Ovis aries: one gene and its partners. Each later gene encodes a partner of the first gene's protein in a complex. Links are inferred from orthologs where the notes say so. Each region holds a gene or a part of one and is shown in the gene's direction. Other genes may lie near its edges.

Region 1 (3,512 bases):
TGAGGAAAGAAGCATGGCTGGCAGGAGATCTGGGAGGGTGGTGATAGGGTGATGGAAGGGGTACCCATTAATGGAGGTGAGGGAGGAAGCATTGGCTAACACTGAGATCATCTCTCTCAGGGCGAGGACCCAGCCTGATCTGACTCCAGAGCCTTCAGCAGGGAAGACAAATGTCAGATGAAGATGACCTGGAAGACTTTGAGCCAGACCAGGATGATCTGGAAAGGGAAGATGATGACAAGGAGACAGAGGAGTGGGAGGACTACAGGAAGGAGGGAGAGGAGTCCGAGGATGTGAGAACTTGGAAACGGAGGGGTCTGGGCTTAAGGGCTGGGGTTGGGCTGGAAAGGCAAGCCTGAGTCCGCTTCCTCCTGCAGTGGATATCCACACCCCTCACAGAGGACATGATGAAGGAAGGGCTTTCTCTGCTCTGCAAGACGGGTAATGGACTGGCTCATGCTTACGTCAAGCTGGAGATTAAAGACAGGTGTGTTTATGGGGGGCCAGAAGCGGGCCGAGGTTGTGGGGCCTAGTCTCCTTTCTCACCCTCCATCATGGGTGTTTTGGCTGAGTTTGGATCTCTGTCATCCTGGGCCAGCTAAGAGGGAAGGATAGAGTCTACTTCTCAGGACGCTGTGACCCCCTGCATCAGAGCTGGCCTGCGGCATTGGAGGCCGTAAGGGGATAGGGTGGGGTGGAGATTCCAGCTGGACTCTCGCATGTCCTTCAGAGTTGAGAGCCCACCCACCTTCTGCTTCCCCTCCCCGACTCGCCCATCTGTTAGTCGCTCTTCTCTCCACTCTAAGCCATCTTCACGCTGCCCTCTGCTTTAGCACCTCCGACAGCCCTTGCTGGATTCTTAACCCTGACCTGGCCTCTACCACCTCCTAGGGATCTGACAGACATCCACCTCTTGCGTTCCTACATCCATCTGCGATACGTGGATGTTTCTGAAAACCACTTGACAGATTTGTCCCCACTCAATTACCTCACCCACCTGCTCTGGCTCAAGGCCGATGGCAACCAGCTTCGGAGTGCCGCCCTGAACGAACTGCCCTACCTGCAGATCGCCAGCTTTGCCTACAACCAGATCACCGACATGGAGGGCATCTCTCATCCTCGTCTGGCCAGTCTGGATCTCAAAGGTGGGGCCTTAGGATGGGCCTCGCACAATTCCTTTCTCGCCTGGGGCCAATAGCAGTGGGCAGCATGGCCCTTGGCTGTGCGACATAGCAACCTACATTATTCACTCCCTCGTTCAGACACCCGTGGTGGTTCACGATGACAGTTCTATGTGCTGGAGATGTAGGAGTGAACAAAACAAAGAAATTCCCTATTCTTGCATAGCTTACGTTCTAGTCGGGGAAGGCAGGCAATCATCGATGATCACAATAGTTAATTTTATTTATTTTTTGGCCGGTGCCATGCAGCATTCAGGATCATAGTTCCCCAAGTAGGGATCGAACCAGTGCCCCTGAGTGGAAGTGTGGCGTCTTAACCACTGAACCACCAGGGAAGTCCCAACGATCACAATAAAGAAGTAAATTTTTATAAAGTATGTTAAAAGGAGATAAGTGCTAAAAAAGAACAAAAAAATAAAAGGAGAAAAGTACAATGGAAAAAATAGATCAGGGTAAAGGAAATGGGTGGGGGGAGGTGGCGATTTCAAACAGGTTGGCTAGGACAAATGTCATTGGGAAGTTGACACCTAAGCGAAGACTTGAAGGAGGAGAGGGAGTTAGCTGTATGGATTGTGGGGCACGCCTCATTCATGCCTCAAAGACTTAGGTGGGCACATCCCTTGGGCCCTTGGATCCCATCGCCCCAAGGCCCTGTGGGTGTTACATCTGGAGGTGGCCCTCCTCGTATCCACCTGGCATTAGAGAAGGTGATGCAGAGGCTCTATTGCTGAACACTCAGGGTGGCCCTCTGAACCCTTCACACCCTCCTTCTCCTCAGGGAACCGCATCCACATGGTGACAGGTTTGGATCCCCAAAAACTGATCAGCCTGCACACGCTGGAGCTTCGGGGGAACCAACTGAATAGCACCCAGGGAATCAACCTCCCTAAGCTGAAGAACCTCTTCCTGGTAGCGCCCTGGGTCACAGGGTGGTGGGTTCTGGAAAAGGGGCACTGTCCTGGGGGGCCAGGATACCAGCTTTTTGTAGGTGGTTTAGTTGCCAAGTCGTGTCTGACTCTTGCAATGCTACGGACAGAGGAGTTGGCCAGGCTCCTCTGTCCATGAGATTTTCCAGGTAAGAATACTGGAGTGGGTTGCCATATCCTCCTCTAGGGGATATATCCTCCTTCCCGACCCAGGGATCAAATCCTCTTCTGCACTGCAGGTGGAGTCTTTACCACTGAGTCACCAGGGAAGCCTGGCTTCTAGTGGACTCACCTACTAACTTCATCCTTATGATAACTGACATTATTTCCAAACACCAAGCGTTTGCTGTGAGGATGCAAAATCCAAATAGACAAGGTGTTCACCAATTAACAGGGCTAACAATACACAGCGTGTGGATGACATAGAGACAGTTTGCTTTGATATAGGTTGGGACACCATGTGCATAACTGAGGTGCAGACATCAGGCTAAGGCGGCCACTTAGGTGTCTAGTCTTTTAATTTTTTTTTTTTTTGGCTGGGCCACACGGCATGTGGCTCTTAGTTCCCCAAACTGGGCTCAAACCTGTGTTTCCTGCGTTGGGAGTCTTAACCACTGGACCACCAGGGAAGGTCCTGTGTCTAGTCTTTTAAGCCCTTGAGCTTCTTCATTCCAAAATGCTGCTGAAGCCATGTCTCCTTGGTGGAGCAGTGAGGCTCTTGGGCTGGGGGGTAGTGGGGGTGGGTTGAAGCATCTCCTTCATCAGAGGTGGCTGTGGTGGGCTGGATAGTAGGATTTACTGCTAACCTTTCTCTTGGTTGAAAGCTTCTCCTGGATTCTTTGCTATCTACATGGATCTCTACTCACCTCCACTCCCCTTTCTCACCCTCTCTACCTCTTAGATTTGCTGTTTTGCAAATCTAAGTAAAGAATCTGCCTGCAATGTGGGAAGCCTGGGTTTGATCCCTGGATGGGGAAGATCCCCTGGAGAAGGGCATGGCAACCCACTCTAGTATTCTTGCCTGGAGAATCCTCATGGACAGAAGAGCCAGGTGGGCTACAGTCCAGGGGGTCTCAAAGAATTAGACACAACTGAGTGACTGGCATGCACACGCGTGCACACACACACACACACAATTCATTATTGGCTGTGCTGGGTCTTCATTGCTTTACTCCAGTTGCCACGAGCAGGGGCTACTCTCTAGTTGTGGTGCAAGGGCTTCTCACTGTGGTGGCTTCTCTTGTGGAGCACAGGCTCTAGGGTGCCTGGGCTCAGTAGTTGTTGTTCCCAGGCTCTAGAGCACAGACTCAGTAGCTGTGGCAGGTGGGCTTAGTTGCTCTGCAGCATGTGGGGTCTTCTCTGATCTATGTCTCCTGCACTGGCAGGCAGATTCTTTACCACTGAG
Region 2 (4,028 bases), on another chromosome or scaffold:
TTGTTCTCCCAGAGTTTATGTTTAGAGGTGATTCAAGGCCCTGAAGGGTTGATATTGTTACTGCTCCTCTGTGGAACCAGCTTTAATAGATGGTGAAGTAAAATACTCTAGGAAGGCAGGCAGCAGTAAAGAGCTCTTAGTGACCTGGGGATAGATAAGGAAGTAATGGGTGCATCTACTTCCAGAGCCTCAAGTCAGAGGGCTAAACATGAACACCTGAGGCTGGAGTCACTGTCCATTTTTTGACACTATGTTGGTATTAATATATGTGCACATTGTCCCATCTGTAGAAGATAAGATATGGTAGCCAGAAGACATTTGAGGGTTTGTTTTTTGGGCAGCATCTTATTGATACTTTAAAGAAAAAAACATGGTTGAATCTCTGCAGAGAAAGAAATAAAATTGCATTCAAACCTCCATAAAGATTCATAGCTGCTATCTGCCTTGACCCTGTAGGTGCTGAGTATTTGGTTAGACAAAAGAAGAGACTTAAATAGTCTGGAATGAAAACTAACCAACCTATGGATGATGGAAAACCTGTTTGGCTAACTTGGAGCTGCTTTCCTGAACTTTTCTGGATTTTGGACCTTTCTTTGAGACTCTGACTTATTGAAGATCCCAATACTTGCTTACCATTTTTCTGTTGTCTTTTCTAATAAGAATTATACCTTAACTTACAACCAAAGAGTTAAAGGTGCTTGTGGACATGATATAAAGAAAACACAGAAAACTGAGATTTGGGGTTATGCCATATATGTTGCCCACATTTTTGTTCTGTAAGGTTAATTTAGAGATAAATAGATTAAACTTCTTTAAATAAATACTGCTCTTTAAATAAATGTTAATTCACAAGTCAAAAATTACCTTTTAATGAGTATAGAAGCTGGCAGTAGAGGGGATAACATTGTCTGGTGAAATATGGAAGGTATCTGACACAGATTTTCTTACATAGAATGGAAGGTGCTGGGGGTAGGATGAGGGAGAGCACCAATGATTTATCTCATCATTTGTAAAGTGGAGATAATACAAGTGTCCTTTGAATGACTAGGAGGATGAAATAAAATAAATTATGAGGAAAATGTTAGAAAACATCTACTGCTTTTAAGATTTGCAAGGGGATAAAAATCCCTGTGGTGGGTTCCCTTTCTTGGCTAAAAGGAGCTAGCCAAAGACTGAAGTGCTCTACTGGAATTGGCCCTCTGCAGCCACCGTCTCTAAGCTGGGTTTCTGGTCTCCTGGCAACAATCTGTGACACTAAAGGAGCCCAGGCTAAGGTGAGTGCCCAGATGAGGGCCGGACTCTGAAGAAATCTGGGGTGCAGCCCACAGAGATCCAGGGGACCCAGGAATTCTGCTTTCCAGCCGGGCCTTACCCTAAGCCTCCTGGTGGCGGGAGGGGGTGGAGAGAGGGTGTGTGTGTGTGCACTGTGGAGGGTGGTGCTGAGTGGCGTGGAGAGTTGCAGACCTAGTCTCCTCCTGGGCTCCTCGAGTCCTCGGCTTTGTCTTGCTCCTTGGGCTCTCCTAACTTAATGAAAGCACCTAGGAAAACCCATGGCAGGAGACAGAGTAAAAATCTTATTATTGAGACACTGCTTGTGGAAAAAACTCCGACAGTTTCCAGCTTTATAAATTAATAAAAATCAAGCACCTGATAATGCTGTTTAGTCACAATTACATTAAGTTGGGGGTGCGGGTGCATGTCATTGCAGTTGATTCGCGTGAAGGACCTTAAATTGTAGCTCAAAAGCCAGAATGGAGCTATCAATGCCCCCACCTCAGATCTACGTAGAAAAGACTCTGGCTATTATCAAACCAGATATTGTTGACAAAGAGGAGGAGATACAAGATATTATTCTCAGATCTGGATTCACCATTGTTCAGGTAACTTCTGGGCAGTATGATCATGTTTTTTCCCTCTCTACTGAACTAGACTTTTCTGCCTTAGCTTTTAGCTAAAATAGAATTAAAAATTCACTTTATCTTAAATAAAAGGTATGTTTGAAAGCTCTTCTTACTCATAGAGTTATATCCCTAAACTTGTTTTAGAATACCTTTGATTTTACCTTTTGAAAATGTTTATGTATATGTGTTAGCCCAGTTCAATCCTTCGTATTTAGCATGAAATTTAGGTTTACTCTTCTGAATATAAAAGTTATATGTGATAATTTTCCAAAAAGTATTTTCACAGTTTAAAAATATATAAAATGAGAAGTAAAGCTTCTTTCTCCCATCAACTCTCAATCTGCAGAGACAATCACTTGACACTTTATTTTCTTCCAGAATTTTTGTGTGCATTTACAAATATGTTTCCCCCATAAAGTAGGACAGTCGCCCTCCCTGGACCCTCTTTACCCTCCCTCAGATAGCATGCCAGATCATTACTTCTGAATCTAACTTCTGTGTAAATACTCTTCTGTCCTAATAAACCACAGTTTATTTACTTGATCTTCTCTTGATGAATTTTTAGACTGTTGAGTTGTGTTTTTTTTTTTTAATTTAATGTTTTAAGCCTTTTCCTTGTTCTGCAGTTAGTAGTTTGAATATATAAAGACTATCAAATAGAATGGAATATTTTTAATTTTCCTTTTTTGTACCATTCTTATTTGAAATTTCACTTTTTATTATATTTATTGACTGTCATATTGCTTGTTGAGTCTTTTAAAAAATAAAAAAGATAACTTCAGTCTTCAGAAGATGGGTTTTTAAATGAACTTAGAAGGATACGTGGAGGCTGAGGGTGAGATGCTACAAGAAAATTTAAGGGAGTAGTATAAGGGAAAGTATAAAGAAATAATATAATTAAAAGATTCAGATAAAGATGAGCTTTTAAATAAATGTTAGGAAACTGGGTAGCCACTTAAAAAAAAAACTTGGATTCAAATATTACACTATATATACCAGGATAAATTCCAAATGAATTTGACATTTAAATATTAAAAAACTAAACCATATAAACTCTAGAAGAAAAATGGCTGAATTTCTTTTTATTCTCGGAAGGGAACAGCCTTTTTACTGGGTACTGTAAAATAAAAGATTGATAAAAATATAAACATAAAAAACTTGAGCATGGCCAAATAAGCATAATAAGCAAAGGCAAAACACAGGTGACAAACTTGGAAAAAATACTTGTAACTCATAAAGAGTAATCTCCCAAATGTATAAAAAGCTCCTAAAACAGGATAAAAATTCGGTTGAAAATGGGCAGTACATGTGGATGGTCAAAGAAATAAAAATGCTTCTAAAACATGGTAAAGGATGCTCAATCTCTAAGCAGGAAAAAAGCAAATTAAAATGACACTGAACTACCATCTGGCAAGAATATAAAAGTAAATGACATAACCCCTATGGAAGGGAATCTGGCGATTATCTATCAGTATTTACAGATGCATCTTCCCTTTGACCCAGCAGTACTACTTCTGGGAATCTCTCCTATAACTTGTGTATTAATATGCAGTGACATATATCTAGGTAATTTTTTGTAGCATTGTTTATTTACAAGCAAAAAATTGAAAATAACCCCACATTAGGAAATTGGTGAAATTCACCCTGACGAATTTGCCAAATTGAATACTATGCAACTAATTATAAAAAGAGCAATGAAGAACCTCTCTGTGTCCTGCTAGGGAAAAAAGCAAGATGCAGAACAATGTGTAGCTTTTTTCTATGATAGAAAGAGAAAAAGTAATATATATTCATGTTTGCCAGTATTTACAAAATGAATTTAGAAGAATTTAGAAGAATTTACAAAATGAATTTTAAATAAACAGTAAAAAATGATTGCATATAGAAGGTAAGGAAGAACAGGCTGAATTAGGACAGGAATGGGAATGAAATTTTTCAGTATGAACCTTTTTATATTGCTTTGAATTTTTTAATCCCTGAAGTATGTTACTCATTAATTTTAGAAGAAAGACAAAACATACAAATAAGATAAAGTTTCCAATTTGATTTTTAGAAGTTTGAAAAGAATTAGTGAAAAAATAATTAAGCAGCAAGCAATAATTAGAAATTAAAACTTCTTATAAAAAA
Region 3 (4,160 bases), on another chromosome or scaffold:
GTGAAGGGAGGGGATGGGGATGTGTTGGTGGCTGCTTCTGCCAATCTGTGACTAATGCACCTGAACCAATGCACCCAAGTAAACTACTTTCTACACCCCTTCTCATCAAAGTGTGGTCATTGCATCACCTGGGAGTTGTTGAAATGCAGATTCTCAGGTCCCACCTCAGATTTACAGATTGAGAGTCTGCATTTTAACAGAATCCCCAGGTGATACACAGTTACAGCTCTCCTTTGCCTTAATCCCAGTACAACTACCCTTCCCAGGGGGTGGGATCACCAAGTTTGGAGCAGATCGTTTATCCAGTTTGCCACACTTACTGCAGTGTGGCAGACACTGAGGACCAAACGCTGAAGAGCCTTCCATCTGTCAGTGCTCCCGCTGGCACTTATTATCTCAATCAACATTTAGTGAAGCATCTTGTGCCCAGCACTGCCCCACATAAACTGAAACAAAACATGGGAAATGCTAGCCAAGAACTGTGCGAAACAACTAGCCCAGGGAAGGCTGCAGATGGTGGGGGAGATGAAAAAGGTTGGAAGACTTCCTGGAGGTGGGGGCACCCGGGCTCGCTCTGAAAGTAGTGCCAACTAAAGAATGTCTCCAGCCAGCTGGCTCCACAAGGACTGAGTCATTAGCAGTTGTTAACTGGTCACTAACACAGCCTGAAAAGAGTTCAGGGTGGAAATCAGGAATGAGATACTCCACTTTCTGGGAAAACTGACAGAATAGACCTTCAGACAGAAACTTTCAGGACAAAAATTTACAAACCCAATTTCTTGCATCTTACATACTTAGAAAAGCCATAAAATAATTAAACTGTGTGTGCTTGATAACTAGCAGTAGACTTTTACCTAGATATATGTTTGACTGCAGGTACCCGTTCTCCAAATCTCCTATACGCTGACCTCTGCCCTCACCTCTTCCATGCTGAAGCAGTTTCTCAGAGTTGTCTGAGAGGCTGTCTGCAGGGCTATAATCCTCAGTTAAGTCCCCAAGTAAAACTGAATTTACAGCTCTTAGATGTGCTATCCCCACCCCCAGTGGCCAGGATCCAAGCAGAAGTCACCAGCAGGTGCGAAAGCGCTAGGCTGAGAAAATACCAGGATGTTAGATTGCTACACTCTTTTCTGGCCTTAAGCAGTGCGGGCTTCACCTACCGGTAGCCTTTGCGCACATCCACTCCCGCCCCTGCCCCGCCCCGCCCCGCCCCGTCCCGGTCAGCCTCTGTCCTGGCTCTCTCCGTGTGCACTGCGCTTGCCAGTCTCGCTTGGTCAATTCCCCTTTTTGGCTGGCCCCTCCTCAAAGCCTCTAGATTGCACATCCTGTCTCTGCTCACGTACCCTGGTGCTTCCGGCTCTCCATCCAGCACCCTGTACACCTTGGGCGCAGCCTCCTCTCAGCTGCGCATCCTACCTTCCACTCCTCCAGCTTCTCCTCTCTGCAGCATCTACTCCGCCGCCGCCTCCAACCCTCACCATCGCTCACGCCCCGGCCCGCGCCTCTTCTGACCTCAGCCCAGCGTAGTCAGCTCAGCTCTCAGCACGCACTCTTCTCTCTCGGACCCAGGCAGTCTCCAGCCCAGGGGCGCGCGGGCTCATTGCCTAGCAACGGGACGCTATCTGCAGGTAGGTAGGCGCATGCGTCAGGCGCCAGCCTCTAGAATGCAGGCGCCTTTTGGGAAGAACAGCTTCCGGTGCTGGGCTGGTTTCCAGCCGGCAGAGGCAGCTTTGGCCCTTGGACCCTGCCAGTGGTGCGACAGAGGAATAGCTCAGCGCAGGGAGGCAGCTCTGTGGCTGAGTCCTACTCCTCTTCCTCCTCACTGGTGAGCAGCGCCGCGCCTTTTGGAGGGGCAGGGGAGGCGGGTCTGGAATAGAAAAGCTACCGAAGCTCTCGGAATCCAGGTCGGTAAAATTCGGGGTACCCAGTTAAATTTGAATTTCAGAGACATAAGAAATTACTGTTTAGTACATGTATAGTAGAGTGTATAATACAAAATCGTTTCTTGTTTATCTGAAATTTTAAATTTAACTGGCCACTGTATCCGATCCCTTCCTCTCCCACTCGGCCTGCTTTCTCCCAAGCATGACCGAGGAACCTCTGTTTCTTTGGACAGCTTCGCCAGGCTTCAGTTCAGTTCAGTTCAGTTCAGTCGCTCAGTCGTGTCCGACTCTTTGCGACCCCATGAATTGCAGCACCCCAGGCTTCCCTGTCCATCACCAACTCCTGGAGTTCACTCAGACTCACGTCCATCGAGTCAGTGATGCCATCCAGCCATCTCATCCTCTGTCGTCCCCTTCTCCTCCTGCCCCCAATCCCTCCCAGCATCAGAGTCTTTTCCAATGAATGAACTCTTCGCATGAGGTGGCCAAAGTACTGGAGTTTCAGCTTTGGCATCATTCCTTCCAAAGAACACCCAGGACTGATCTCCTTTAGGATGGAGGGTTGGAGCTCCTTGCAGTCCAAGGGACTCTCAAGAGTCTTCTCCAACACCACAGTTCAAAAGCATCAATTCTTCGGCGCTCAGCCTTCTTCACAGTCCAACTCTCACATCCATACATGACCACAGGAAAAACCATAGCCTTGACTAGACGGACCTTAGTCAGCAAAGTAACACCTCTGCTTTTGAATATGCTATCGAGGTTGGTCATAACTTTTCTTCCAAGGAGTAAGCGTCTTTTAATTTCATGGCTGCAGTCACCATCTGCAGTGATTTTGGAGCCCCCAAAAATAAAGTCAGCCATTGTTTCCACTGTTTCCCCATCTATTTCTCATGAAGTGATGGGACTGGATCCCATGATCTTCGTTTTCTGAATGTTGAGCTTTAAGCCAACTTTTTCACTCTCCTCTTTCACTTTCATCAAGAGGCTTTTAGTCCCTCTTCACTTTCTGCCATAAGGGTGATGCCATCTGCATATCTGAGGGTATTCATATTTCTCCTGGCAATCTTGATTCCACCTTGTGTTTCTTCCAGTCCAGCGTTTCTCATGGTGTACTCTGCATATAAGTTAAATAAGCAGAGTGACAATATACAGCCTTGATGCACTCCTTTTCCTATTTGGAACCAGTCTGTTGTTTCATGTCCAGTTCTAACTGTTGCTTCCTGACCTGCATACAGATTTCTCAAGAGGCAGGTTAGGTGGTCTGGTATTCCCATCTCTCTCAGAATTTTCCACAGTTTATTGTGATCCACACAGTCAAAGGCTTTGGCATAGTCAATAAAGCAGAAATAGATGTTTTTCTGGAACTCTCTTGCTTTTTCCATGATCCAGCAGATGTTGGCAATTTGATCTCTGGTTCCTCTGCCTTTTCTAAAACCAGCTTGAACATCAGGGAGTTCACGGTTCACATATTGTTGAAGCCTGGCTTGGAGAATTTTGAGCATTACTTTACTAGCATATGAGATGAGTGCAATTGTGCAGTAGTTTGAGCATTGTTTGGCATTGCCTTTCTTTGGGACTGGAATGAAAACTGACCTCTTCCAGTCCTGTGGCCACTGCTGAGTTTTCCAAATTTGCTGGCATATTGAGTGCAGCACTTTCACAGCATCATCTTTCAGGATTTGAAATAGCTCCACTGGAATTCCATCACCTCCACTAGCTTTGTTTGTAGTGATGCTTTCTAAGGCCCACTTGACTTCACATTCCAGGATGTCTGTCTCTAGGTGAGTGATCACACCATCGTGATTATCCGGGTCTTGAAGATCTTTTTGTACAGTTCTTCTGTGTATTCTCGCCAGGCTTAAGGCAGCTGTTTCTGTGGGAATGAGCTTTCTTATGTTGAGCCAAGATGCCTGTTGGTGTGTCTGAAAAATATGCCTTACAACTGGCTGGGTATTTTTGCTGTTTCCTGGAGAGGAAGCAAGCCGAAGGAAGTAAGGAGTTTCACCTGGGTTCGGTTGATGAGCAGATGCAGCCGGCTTCTGTTGGAGACCAGTCCTCCTTGGGCGGTTTCTCCTTTCGGAGACCAGGGTTGTCTCCTCCTGTGTTCGCTTTCTGGAGCTGCAGCAGGAATCTGTTCCAGATTTCCTGCACTGCAGTCAGATCCTTCACTGCCCGGGCCACCAGGGAGAAGTCCTTTAGAAATTGCTAGTGTGTTTCAGATGGAATTGAGATGACAATGTAGTTATTTTTGTCTTTAGAGCATTATCCCATTGAAGA

The links. Proteins that work in one complex are often made in the same cells at the same time.
Region 2: LRRC23 (region 1) and NME5 share a complex: the UniProt entries of both Homo sapiens proteins name them as parts of the axonemal radial spoke complex. The link is inferred for Ovis aries from reciprocal best matches to the Homo sapiens genes LRRC23 and NME5.
Region 3: LRRC23 (region 1) and DYDC1 share a complex: the UniProt entries of both Homo sapiens proteins name them as parts of the axonemal radial spoke complex. The link is inferred for Ovis aries from reciprocal best matches to the Homo sapiens genes LRRC23 and DYDC1.

The regions. Positions count from the first base shown.
Region 1 is NC_056056.1:209,392,586-209,396,097, reverse strand, and holds part of LRRC23 (leucine-rich repeat-containing protein 23), read left to right. Parts: intron 1-120; 5' UTR 121-170; coding exon 171-293; intron 294-377; coding exon 378-487; intron 488-891; coding exon 892-1,145; intron 1,146-1,959; coding exon 1,960-2,090; intron 2,091-3,512. UniProt on the Homo sapiens protein: Essential for sperm motility and male fertility. Plays an important role in the proper assembly of the third radial spoke (RS3) head and the bridge structure between RS2 and RS3 in the sperm flagella.
Region 2 is NC_056058.1:47,235,892-47,239,919, reverse strand, and holds the start of NME5 (nucleoside diphosphate kinase homolog 5), read left to right. Parts: upstream 1-1,217; 5' UTR 1,218-1,274; exon of another isoform or gene 1,275-1,708; 5' UTR 1,709-1,751; coding exon 1,752-1,880; intron 1,881-4,028. Other genes in the region: bromodomain-containing protein 8-like, read left to right, coding at 457-507. UniProt on the Homo sapiens protein: Functions as part of axonemal radial spoke complexes that play an important part in the motility of sperm and cilia. Does not seem to have nucleoside diphosphate kinase (NDPK) activity.
Region 3 is NC_056078.1:34,793,944-34,798,103, reverse strand, and holds the start of DYDC1 (DPY30 domain-containing protein 1), read left to right. Parts: upstream 1-1,349; 5' UTR 1,350-1,628; intron 1,629-1,661; exon of another isoform or gene 1,662-1,825; intron 1,826-4,160. UniProt on the Homo sapiens protein: Functions as part of axonemal radial spoke complexes that play an important part in the motility of sperm and cilia. Plays a crucial role during acrosome biogenesis.